2 linked regions of the Styela clava genome follow. The protein of the gene in region 1 interacts with the protein of each later gene in a pairwise test. Links are inferred from orthologs where the notes say so. Each region holds a gene or a part of one and is shown in the gene's direction. Other genes may lie near its edges. The genes, in order: EKC/KEOPS complex subunit TP53RK-like and EKC/KEOPS complex subunit TPRKB-like.

Evidence for each region.
Region 2: the proteins of EKC/KEOPS complex subunit TP53RK-like (region 1) and EKC/KEOPS complex subunit TPRKB-like interact in binary tests that used the Homo sapiens proteins (3 or more experiments, as listed by UniProt). The link is inferred for Styela clava from reciprocal best matches to the Homo sapiens genes TP53RK and TPRKB.

What each region holds. Positions count from the first base shown.
Region 1 is NC_135251.1:30,623,758-30,629,621, forward strand, and holds EKC/KEOPS complex subunit TP53RK-like, read left to right. Parts: upstream 1-4,254; coding exon 4,255-4,959; 3' UTR 4,960-5,314; downstream 5,315-5,864. Other genes in the region: mitochondrial import inner membrane translocase subunit TIM14-like, read left to right, coding at 2,890-3,243.
Region 2 is NC_135254.1:16,142,795-16,149,676, forward strand, and holds EKC/KEOPS complex subunit TPRKB-like, read left to right. Parts: upstream 1-5,161; 5' UTR 5,162-5,273; coding exon 5,274-5,783; 3' UTR 5,784-6,355; downstream 6,356-6,882. Other genes in the region: kelch-like protein 12, read left to right, coding at 6,390-6,882. UniProt on the Homo sapiens protein: Component of the EKC/KEOPS complex that is required for the formation of a threonylcarbamoyl group on adenosine at position 37 (t(6)A37) in tRNAs that read codons beginning with adenine.

The sequences.
Region 1 (5,864 bases):
ACAGGAGTCATAGTTTTCTTTGTTCGGAGTCGGACTCCGAGTTCGAATTTTGATTTTGGATCAGGACGGAGTCGGAGTCTGAAAATTCTGACTCCGCTCATCTCTGACTGTTATGTCATGGTTAAATCATGGTTATGTCATTGTAGCCGGAACAATGGTCGTCTAATTGTTGGGTTTCATGGCCTGAGTTCAGTTCTAACTTGCAAGTCAAATTAAAATAATCTTGAGTTGAAACACGTCCGACTGTTAACTAAAGTTAGTTAAATTAACCCAATATGCTATACCTGGGGTGGCCAACACATCGATTGCGAATGCAGATGAACGTGGCGTGGATGTGTTGTCTGTCACCAAATCGAAGACACCAAATTAAAATGTAAAGCAGACTACTTCCTTTATTTCAAAACCTGGCGTAGAAATAGGAGTTTTCAAGTCAGATGGGACCTCAGATGTCGCCAATGCATTCACAAATGTGCGCGGTGGGACCAGTTTCGCAATTTTACTTTTAGTCACGTGTTGCCAAAGTGACTATAAAGTGTTAGTCACTTTGCGTGTTGCCGATGGCCTCGTCGTCTGTCGAGCAATGTACGTTATGCGTACGTTAATAAGAAAAAAAAATAAATAAAAATGTACGTTATGCGGCTTTGAACGACTGTCTCAACTCTGCTGCTCTGTGATCCGGCGGGTACTGTCAGACGCAGGGTTGCCATATTGGCTTTTTTAACGCCAAATTTGCCATTTTTGGCTTTTTATAAACGCGTTTGGCGTCAGAATTTCCGTTTGGCTTTTTGGCGTTTTTTTTGGCTTTTTTTAAGTCTATTCTAGTGTCTATTATTAAAATCATATGAAATACAATATTTAGTGTGTAACAACTGAACAATAGCCTATTACCTGTAGCCTACTTATCACAGTATTAGCTACTTATTAACATTAGAATCCCTGGAGCATCGATTTCCTTGTTTGTCACATTAACTCTTAACCATACCCAATAAGAAATAATTGCAGTTTCTGCAGCTGCTCAGACAGATGTTCGAGCAGGGTTGTAAACATTGCCTCGTTTTTATAGTTTTTGCGTGTTATTTGTCAGTTTTGCGCTCTGTTTCCAAAAAATAGTTGTATAACTTAATTTTCATTATGCCTGATATGGTTTATGTGAGCTTTAGTTTAATTCTGCAATTGCAGTAACGATGTGATTAACTACGCTAAAATTACTGAATTAGATATCAGTGGTCCACCTGTGAGCGGCAGGGGGTTAGATAAATTTTTTACTAAAATTGATGGTTTATAAATTTTGAAAGTAAAAAAATATTCAATAGTGAAGTACGATATAGGGAGAATTTTTTAAGGTATATCACAAGTGGAAACATGTAGGTATATTAAATACTGACAGACTGAAGCGTCACCCTGTAGGCCTATTGTATATATTGAATGGTAAAATAATGATGTCCGCTTGATATTTATTTTACTTTCTACAGTCATATAGAAACTTTACTTTCTATTTTTGTGCCTCACTGAATGAACTGATGGCTCTACATCATCATCAGTACGTTGCCAAGGGCTCAAAATCTGACAAATTATGGGGCTTTTGTACTTAGTAAAATTGTTGGCTTTTTCTGGCTTTTTTTATGTCTTGATTTGGCTTTTTTTGATCGCTGGGGTCTGGCAACCCTGGTCAGACGGTAGTACGTTCTCACCCAAGATGTAATTAATACAGAGCAGCTACACTAAAATGATCGGTCTTTAATAATACGTGATGATTGAGGCGGCATGTAGCAGTGTAAACAAACAATTGAAAAATTTCTAGGATAAAGTGTAAATGCATGTCGCCGTTCCATGCTTGGAAATAGAAAATATAGGGTATCTAGTGATTATCATGATACTGTAGTATCGACTAAAACGTCCACACAAAAATCGATTGTGTATGTTCTCAAATATCAGAATAGTAAGTTTTGTATACCAAGCCCTATTATAATGAGAGCATCTTAATTCCGTTTGAACCTATTTTCATGCTTGTGTGCTGTTATTTGCCCAAAATTCTTCCATTTTCGCATACCAGTTTGCCATCCTAGTCCTGCAATTAAAAATTCGCTATTACTGTTATCTGTTGTTTGTTTCTTGATGTCACTAAGTCTGTGATTTCAGACGTTTCGGCCAACACAGTCTCAAGTGTGGAGACTGGAGATACATTTATTAATGATACTGGGATAGAATGCAATAGAAGAGGATGGTTACATGCCTTGATTGAATATTTTTGAATTTTGTTAATGAAAGTAGCGTATTTAGTCATGATTTTGATATTAAAATTGCACATACAGCCCATCACACTGTCACATCTATGATTTAACTAACAGTATATCCCACTCACAGACTCACCAGGCCATGCTGCCATGTCTTTGATCTATATGTCTCTGTTGGTGTTTCTTTTGTTGTAATATTAAAATATTGCAAAAGTATTTCGGCCACTTCAGTTCAATTACTGAATTATAACGTATATTCCAATATTTGGATGTTGTTATACCCAAACAATTCCCCATGCTGTAAGTTGCTGATGCATACACATTTTTTTAGTAATTTTCTGTTTTTGAATGATAAGATAAGGTTACTGGATCAATTATGTTACTGGAGCATTGGGGAAAATTCTAGAACTACTAGAGGGGACCAGATCGATGATAATTCAGTAGTTTCTCCGATGATTTTGAACATTCAAAAATCATTCAATCAAAATGCTGAAATGTCATGATTCCCATTTAATTTAATTTGCTAATTTGTGCATAACCTATATTCTTCTCAATAGATCTAATCTAGTAGTCTAATATTGTATATTCTAAATGCATCAAGTCTCTACTTTTCAATTTGTTCATTTTTTCTATAGAGTATATGTACTGATCAAGCATGGCAACTACAATGATTGTAGTTGGACTTGGAATTGCTGGTAGTGCTTTGTTAGCTCGAGCAGCTGTCCGCATGGCGGGACCTGCGGCACGTCAGATGGATGAAACACTGAAAACTCTCGGAAAATTTGATTTTGAAAATTACAAATATTATAGAGGTGGTTTTGAAACTAAAATGACAAAAAGGGAAGCTGCTTTAATTTTAGGAATTGGGCAGTCTAGCAACAGAAACAGAGTACGAGAATGTCACAGAAGGATTATGCTTCTGAATCATCCTGATAAAGGAGGATCTCCTTATCTTGCCGCCAAAATCAATCAAGCAAAGGACATGTTGGATCATGGATTGAAAAAATAAAAAAAAATTTGAACAAATGATTAAATTATAACACTGTGAATTGTTTGAGTTAGCCATGGAACAGAATAAGAGAACTTAATTTAAAACGGTAACTTAACTTAAAAAGGTTTCATGGCAATGCCTCGTGTACATACGGTAGATAAATAGGCATGTTTCATCAATGGATCATAACCATGTTTCAGGTTTATTGATTACGGTTACATATTGTTAATAGCAATATTTCAAATTTGTCAGCCTAGGTTTGGTATTCACGTCCATCTGATGAAGGTTTAACTTGATTTGCTATAAAATTTAACAACACTCAAGATATTTATGTTTCTTGTTTCACTTTCTCAATTTGATTAATTCTTCGTTGATTAAAATTGTTTGTCCGTAATATTTACTAATTCAGGGTATGTTAGAAATTAAATAGGTGAAAATATTTTTTAGAAGCTAGCCAGAGAATGTATTTATTAGGTTTCATCCATTTGATCACATAATAAAATTACTTAATAATTCTATTTCGTACTTCCTGAATTTTTTGAGGTGATCACTCTAAATAAATCCAAAGATGTTAGTTTTTAAAAAGATTTTTAAGAGATTTTTGGCTTAATAAAATAGCCTAGCAAAGGTTGAAGTAGGAATGGACTAATGTGCGAAGGAAGATATCTTTATTGTTGGTGCCTATTGTCAACCATTAAGTCATCAGAAGTTGCCCATGATTTATGAAAGTTCCTTTAAAAGGAACTCCAGTATTGAAAATAGTCTGCTGATTCAAACAACAAATTTATAAGGATGCTGGAAAATGTTCACTATATTAAAAATATGAAATTGTTATTGGTGAAAATCATAGAGCATCACACCAAATTCTATTTGCTATGATTATGAACCTTGCTTGAAAGTATGCACAAAGTTTATAGCCACCATGTCTGTTTTTGATGTGTTTTGCAAAATATACTATTTCTAAACGTGAGCTCCTTTTTGTATTTGATTCTCATCTATTGACTGTTTGTACATTTTTCAGAATTAATAATGAATCCCTATGTAAATCATGGAGTGCTTTTGCATCAAGGTGCTGAGGCTAAAATTTATAAATGTGAGTTTCTCGGTCGAACTGCAATTATTAAGTTTCGTTTTTCGAAAAAATATCGCCATCCCGAACTGGATGAAAAACTGACTAAGAAAAGAATAACCCAAGAAGCACGTTCCTTACTAAGATGTAGGAATATTGGAGTTCAAACTCCAGCTGTGTATTTTGTAGATTTGGATATGGGTGTGCTTGTACTTGAATACTTTGACATGGCACAGACATTGAAAGAGCACATATTTCAAGCATATGAGAAATATGATACACCTGGACAATACCCACCAGAATTGGTTCAAGTTATTGAGAATGTTGGACAAAAACTTGCTATGATTCACAACTCTGATATAATACACGGAGATTTGACTTCTTCAAACATCTTGGTTGAATGTCAGGAAGGCAGCGAAGGAAACAATGTTGTGAAAATAATTTTCATTGACTTTGGTTTGAGCTCATCGTCTCGACTTGTCGAAGACAAGGGTGTTGATTTGTATGTTTTGGAAAAAGCATTCTTAAGTACTCATCCAAATAGTGAAAATCTTTTCGGTGCTTTGATTAAGTCCTACAAATCGCATTCCACCAACTGCAAAGGTATAATATCTAAATATGAGGAAGTAAAACTGCGAGGTCGAAAGCGAACTATGGTAGGGTGAAGTAGTGTGTCATGATAGTGCTATTTTACTAATTGCTATATATGAAACACATCCACTGGTTTTCATTGTTCTAAACCTGTAGTGGTGAGAACACTTTTAATGAATAGGAACTCTTAAAAGCAGGTGTTCCCAAACTATATATTGTCTCAAGTAACAGTTAAGGGGCTGACCAGATATTTACAGCAGTCCTTGCATTTTTGAATAACAGATCTTGCATCCATGAAATTCCAAATATATATGTTCTTCCGCGGTGTTTCAAGTATTATGATATATATTGTTGATGGAACAACTTGGTATTTTACCACCCGTATGTCATCCATCTCCGAGAACATTAAAGAATTTGCAAAATCTAAAACCCGTTCTCGTGAAATTTTTTGTTGTTGCTGGAATTCTGGGGACAGCATGACGACAGGCAAGAGGGATACGGCCGCCTCTTAGATTGTGACAGTGTTTCTCAAACAGGAACTTCGGCCCCCATGTGAGGTCACGGATCGGTTATCTGGAAGCCGTAAGCAAATGCCTTTATTGTGTGCAATTCGCGACGACCACATTGATTTAACCTAAACTGATGGAATGCGTTAATATATAATAACTAATGTTGGTATGGAATATGGACGGTAATTGCATTCTTCCCCAGCTATATGGTCTAAGTCTAAAATGTCGTGATTTCCACAGTCAGTTCCAGTGAGTATTGCTGCACACTAGCACAAATGTATTTCTGTAACGTTTAGTCTGACCGAGGTCAGATTCCTTTCCAACAAGCATTTTACAATTGTGGCAAGAAACGCAATTGCATACTGCTATCCACTGGGTTTATATTTGCGCCAACGCTGTGCGCAATGCACTTAAACCCATGACGACTGCATTACGCTGGCTTTGATTCTTATGATACAGTTAGCACTAGT
Region 2 (6,882 bases), on another chromosome or scaffold:
ATCACCTTTCAATGAAAAGTTTTGTATCCTTCTCTTGCTGGGGGAAAGAAAAGTTCTTGGAAAACCAAGTCATAGAAAAGTCATCTCTGAGTGATTCCATTTTTGTATGTTAAATGAGCTTTTAGAACTAAGTTAGGTACGTTAACAGCAATGTGAAGGCGGAATAACGTTAATAATAGATCACTTGACAATATGTTATAACTTTAGCACGAAAATACCGCTATCACCAGTGAAATGCCATTCGAAGGCCTTTAAAACGAGCAACGTACCAGTCTATCGCCCTACACAAGCCTGAATATTTGCATTGTTTGTCTGAGCAATGACATTAAACAACATGATGCGCAACTCCGGCATTTTTGTCCGAAGATCGTATTCGATAGCACGCTCCAATGCACATACTTGACGAGACGAAAACGAGCGGATGTGTGCTGCTTTCAAGGCGTAGCACGAATGGTGTTCGTGACTGCTTTGACAGTTGTTGTCGATTTTAATGATATTTTTGAAAGTTGGGGTAAAAAGAAATCGGTAAAAGGTAAGGTGAATACTATTGTTGTATATCACACCCGGGCATCGCACTGTTAAGTACTTGTGGGAAAGCCAGCCTTTGTCAAATACTACGAAGTTATTAATTCAGTACGGTACGTAGTTGCCCATTTGCCGAAATTACATATTTACTTACCCCTTATGGTTTCAAATAGTTCATGCACCTCCAGTTAGATTTTTTTAATCAGTGAGGATATATACTCATTGTTGATTGCTGCTCATTGTAACATACTATTACGCATTCACTTTTATTTGCGTATTGAATCAAAGTGTTAACAAGTTCACCTAACATTTCACTCATACCGGTCTATATTGTATAGTCTGATTTCTCAAGTATTTGGAGCAACGAATGCTTGTAATTTTCTGACTAAACCCTTTTATTAGTTGGTTTATATACCAAATTCAGTAAAATATTTTTTAAATAAAACATGAGATATTGGATTTATTAGCTTTTCCATTCTGAATCATATAGACTGCTTTATTTATTCTTACCGAAAATTAATAAATCTCCTCTCTTTCTTCAGATGTGAAAGTTGTGGACAAACCTGTCTAAGCATTGTGAGACTCTTGCAGCACAAGAGGCAATAGCAGAAATAGTAAGTATATCAATCAAGAAATTAAGCCGACATAAAGCAAAACTTTCAACTATTCGTCTAATCTCAATTTCCTATTATTTATTCACAGGACAACTATAGCAGACGGGGAGATATCAGAAGTCTGGCGACATATCAGTGACAGTGTGATTCCAAGAAATATAATGCAATTGAAAATAGAAAATTGCAATAGAAAAACAACCTATGGAGGCATGCAAACCCATTTGACCCTCCGGTAGAGTTGTGTATGGCCCCCACATCCTGCAGGGCTTGAGGAAAATAACTAAAAATTCCAAAGCGTAAGAATGCATAAGCGGTCTTATTTGTAAAAAGGCACAAAACACGCCAGACATACTTAAAACAGCTTTGGAAATGAGGATTACGGGTACCTCACTGCACCTGTGTTATATTTGGTTCATCAACTTTTGGTAGTACTATAGAAGAAATTCCGGAAGGGGTATAATCATCATTCATGATAAAATACTATCATATATTTTTTGAACAACTTCAATCTAGACCAGGGATCTCAAACTCGCGGCCAGAGAACTTCCAGTGCGGCCCTCGAACGCTTAACAATAATTGTAATAGTATTTTTAAAGTTTTTTTTTTTATCTAAATGTAATAGATTTTTCAAACCTTCTAAAGTGAAATTGATTATTCACACAGAAAACAATTTACTGAAAGTAGTTTTGGAATATTAATTTTTTTGTCCACATTTTGACCCAATTAAGAATACACATCAAGCTAGCAAAAGAATACTTGAATAAAACACTTGAGTAATTAAATTAAACGCAAAGTACATGAAGAAGGTGGCATTTTCGAAGAAAATGGGAGTTGTAACATTTCTGCTCTTCACAAAATTCTGAAGCACATTGTTTAATTTGTCATATTTCCGTCAATACAATCAAAAAACACAATAAGCTCAGCAGTCAATATGACAAATTCGAAGACCAACTTCGAACAGAAAATTTCCATGTGTTTGTATATTAATATAATTATACAACGACTTAGTTACTAAAAATCAATATCAATAATAATTCGAGCAATCCTATGCCACGCAATGTAGTGCGAAATGTCTTGTCGAAAAAATCTGTCATTTGTTTTTTTACTGATCTATACATGAAATGATAAAAATAACTTTTTTGCATTACTGGAATTAATTAAACATTCGTAAAGATCCAGATAAACCCATGATCATGTGGCCTCGTTAGTTAGAGTTGGTACTATAAAATCATTTCAGACTGACCTTAGTATGCTGGTGACACAAAAAAAGATGCCAAACGCCAGGACAAATGTAATTATTAAAACATTGAGTTTATACTGTAGTATTTTGTTAATTTTAGGTTCATATATTTAGATTAAGTTATTTTTAGTGTATGTATTATTCTTTCCTTATTCAAAGCTTGTTCAAAAATGATTTTGATGGTTTTACATAGAATTTTACGATTTTTTATAATAAATACTGTAACTTGCAAATGTTGCAATAATAGTGGAATGCAAATATTAATATGTAATTGCATTTGAAATTGAAGAAAATAATAAAACTTAATCCAACTGTTTAGTTGCATCACAATATATGTCACAAACTAAAACTATCTTAAAAATATCTTTTAAGTATACATTATCAAAAACTGTTTGCGGCTCTTTTTACAATTTTCAAAATGCAATGCGGCTCTCGAAAACCCATGAGTTTGACACCACTGATCTATTCTAGACGATTCAAGCATTGCTTTGGGAAATTATATCACTTCAATTAAATTGAAATAATCTCGCTATATTAAATACAAAATCGTTGCTATCATAAAGGTAAACCAATTCAGCCACTTGAAATATATTGGCCTTCACAAAGCAATGGAGGCAAAATTGAGAGTTCATGAGCTATGAACATTTGTTCTTTTCTTTGTCTTGAACTTTCCATACTCCACAGCCCCTATTAATTTTTTTTAATTTTAATTACCATGTGATGGTCATACATATCTTTAACTTGTATTTTCTGTCATGATGTATTATCTCAATGTGCCAAACTATTAATTAGTGTGCATATTTTGCTTCCAGATGACATAAATGTATTGTCATGTTTATTACCTCAGCTTGGAGTATTGACAAGAAAAAGGTGCCAGTAAATTAGGTAAAAAAATTTTCAACTCATTGTTATAATCAGAATTCACAATCAATAGGAATTATAAACAGCCAACAATCAGTGAGAATTATATGCGAAATGGAAAACGGACGCGAAAGGCGACGAGAAATATGTGCATTGGAGCGTATCATGAAATACAATGTTTTGCCTGTAGTCTTATGGAGTGACGTCAGAGTTGCCTATCATGTTGTTTAACCCTTTCCGTGCGGTGGGCACGTATACGTACCCACGACAAAACTCGCTAGTTTGCGGCGGGTACGTTGATGTACTCCACTGTTTTATTTAGCAATCGGTCGCAAACTGTTGGTCTAGTTTTTCCGGGTTTTAGTTTATTGATAAGAAGCCTTCTTCGAGATTAACATAAGCGACGGTAAATCTCGCTTTCGTTTACCATGGGAGTTTTATTTGCGGCGGAACGAGGGAGTGTTTTTGATTTATGCAAATTTCGGTGTTTTTTGGGTGGTAATAGAAGACATATTATCCCTTCCATCTACCAAAGTATTTTGAGTTAGATAACGAAATTGCTACAGTAATATTATGCTATTGTTTGCCAACCAAGAAGCGGTAACAGTAAAGGATTTAGCGAATATTTCTATTTTTTATCACGGCTTGAAGTTTCAACACCCAAGAAAAAAAATGTCTTTTTTCTATCCTGTTTGTGACTCAGACCACCCCTTCTGAAAAAAAAAAAAATTTTTCAATCGCCAATTGCAAGCTCTTTAAATAAGCTTTCCAACGAGCCGTCAGTGGGCAGCAGAGGATCATTACTTTTTCGTTAGTCGATCGATTAGTTGTGGGGGTACAAATGCATAAAGTCGGCGTAGCAAATACGATTATTTAATAAAAAATAAAAATCGCATGGAAAGGGTTAATGTCATTGGTCTGAGCGACCAAAATCATAACAATAAAGGTCAAAGGTCGGGGAAAGGTCCAAAGGTCTTTTCGCATTTTCTACGGCTACGTTTTAAAAGTCCTACGAAGAAGGGAATCCACAGATAACTCTCTGTAGTCGAGTTGTCTTCCTCTCGAGCATCGACAGCATAACTTCGCAGAGCGCTTGCTCAACTGTTGAATCAGTCGAGCGAATGCGAGAGAGAGAGAGAGAAAATATTTTTTTTTTCGTCAAACTAGGAAACATGATGATACAACAACAAATAATAATAAAAAACACATTATGCAGTTTTCGGTATGTGACTGGTTGATAACGATACGACCATACCGGTATACGGTCGAGTTTAGACTACGGGTGACCACTAAACTAAAGTGATCATAGACTACGAAACTCACATTCATGAATATATATGTGTTACTGTTTCCTGCTACGTATGAAGGTTTTAATATATTCAAAAGTACGTACTCAAAACATTCAATATCAATAACTTTCAAAAATTAAAACGCACACAGTCCTATAAGTCAACAGTATAACTTTGCTATTGGTACCGTTACCAATCAATCAATCATTTATTCGTCGTCACAAAAACATCAAATGCACAAAAAAATGACACCGTACTCCAGTTTCGTCTGTAGACTGTATCTGTATTCATATAACTTGAGCAAAATCATTTATACACATAAAAATTATTTCTTGAGAATATTAATGTATTTTTCTCAACATTGGAGCCCTAAAAATATCGAAATTACATTGTTATAGGCTTAAAACGTCGCCGTAGAAAAGGCGGAAAGACGGACAACCCACCAGACCCATCTGTAGTCGAGTTGTCTCTGGTGAGTTGTCCGTGTAGTCGAGTTGTCCGCTTCCCTTGGTGGCCTACTGTTTTCATTGGAGTTTCTGTGTCTGTGTGTCTAGTGGCACATAAAAATTGCTAACACCTTAGGTACCGGAAGGACTGGAGGAGGCATTTTATCCTTTGTGAAATTTTCTTACAGTAAATATATAGATTTCAAGATTTTAGTGTTTTGACTATCTGACCATATTCAGAACATTTCAGTTTTTTGAATATTTGATTGTTAACTTGTAATTTCCGAATCACAGTGAAATGCAGACTTTTAATCTTAAGCCATTATTTCCTGACCAAAGTGTTCAAATTTCACTGTTTCAAAATGTCACAAACGCAAAGGAACTAAAAGAATTAACAACTGAAGGAATTTTACAAGGATGTTTAATTGATGGTTCTTTGATATTAGATTCATTTCATATATTGACAGCAGTCAATAAAGCGTTGTATTATCAGAAATTAGGACGTATGAAAACAAAGTCTCTATATTCGGAAATATTGTTTAATTTATCACCCACAAATAAAATTAATGAAAGTTTGAAGACATTTGGTATCAATGAAATGACAAAGAAGATAATTGCAGTAGTTTTGAAGGATGACTTGAATTCCAAAGTAATTCCAGAATCTGTAAATGGTGAAATTGTTGGTTTGGAAAACTTGGAAAAAATTATTGATGTAGAGAGAATAAAGAAAATTTATCGTCTCGAACAAAATGAAGAAGTAACTGTTGAAGCTGTTGTTACTAGAATGGCTACTAAAGATGTGAAATGATCGATGTTGTTTACCCACAGATTCCAGGATTCAGTTGGTCAATACTTGGTACCATACCAAAATGTAATACTCTGTTGAAATAGCATTCTTTGTGCTGCTTCTCATTGAAGAATGGTATCAATAGAAATATTGGTCAACGAATCTAATGACCATGCTGAGTTTAGATCAATTTCACAATTATTTTGTCTCCGCAAGATTTTTCGTGATAATTTGTTACTAGTACTTGAAATACATGTTGGCAGAACGCTCTACTCTGGATCAGATTCCTCAGCAATTCTTTCAGTTTTCTTTTCTATTTAAGATACTGTCGTTGCTAGTGTTAATTCCATATGGCGAACAATTAGTTTTCTAGTGCATGCATATAAATAGTCGAAATTTGTTGTAGTTGATTTCACAATATTTTATCGTCATTAAACATTGACAACAACATCTGCTTAATCCTTATTTAATTCAACATCATGTGCGTTAGAATTTAAAGACCTAATTGATTGCTTAAGGGATTGCATAATGTAATCTTCTCAAAATATCTTTGGTAACAAAATTTTCACAACTTTTTTATTTTATCCTGCCAGGCAATATTATTAATTTATTATTTCAATTCTAAAAATGTCCAGCAGTGACAATGAAGATGTTTTACCAGCGTCAGATACAACTGAAAGGGTGGTGTTGGTTAGTGGACATGCCAACAATATTCTTGATTCCATGAACGAATTACGATCTGAAAATGTTCTTTGTGATGTCACAATAAAGTGTCAAGATGTTGAACTGCCAGCTCATCGAGTTGTTCTAGCTGCATCATCTTCTTATTTTCGAGCTATGTTTACAACTGGGATGAGAGAAAAGGACCAATCCGTTGTTGAAATTAAAGGGATGTCAAGTAACACAGTTATCATTTTATTGAATTTTGTATACACTGAATCAGTAAAAGTCACAACAAATAATGTTCAAGACCTTCTTCCTGCAGCTTGTCTTTTACAGTTAAAAGGTGTGGAACAAGCATGTTGCGCATTTTTGAAATCACAACTGGATCCTGTTAATTGTTTGAGTATAAAATCTTTCGCGAGTACACATCAATGTTTAGATCTTGCCAAGTGTGCCG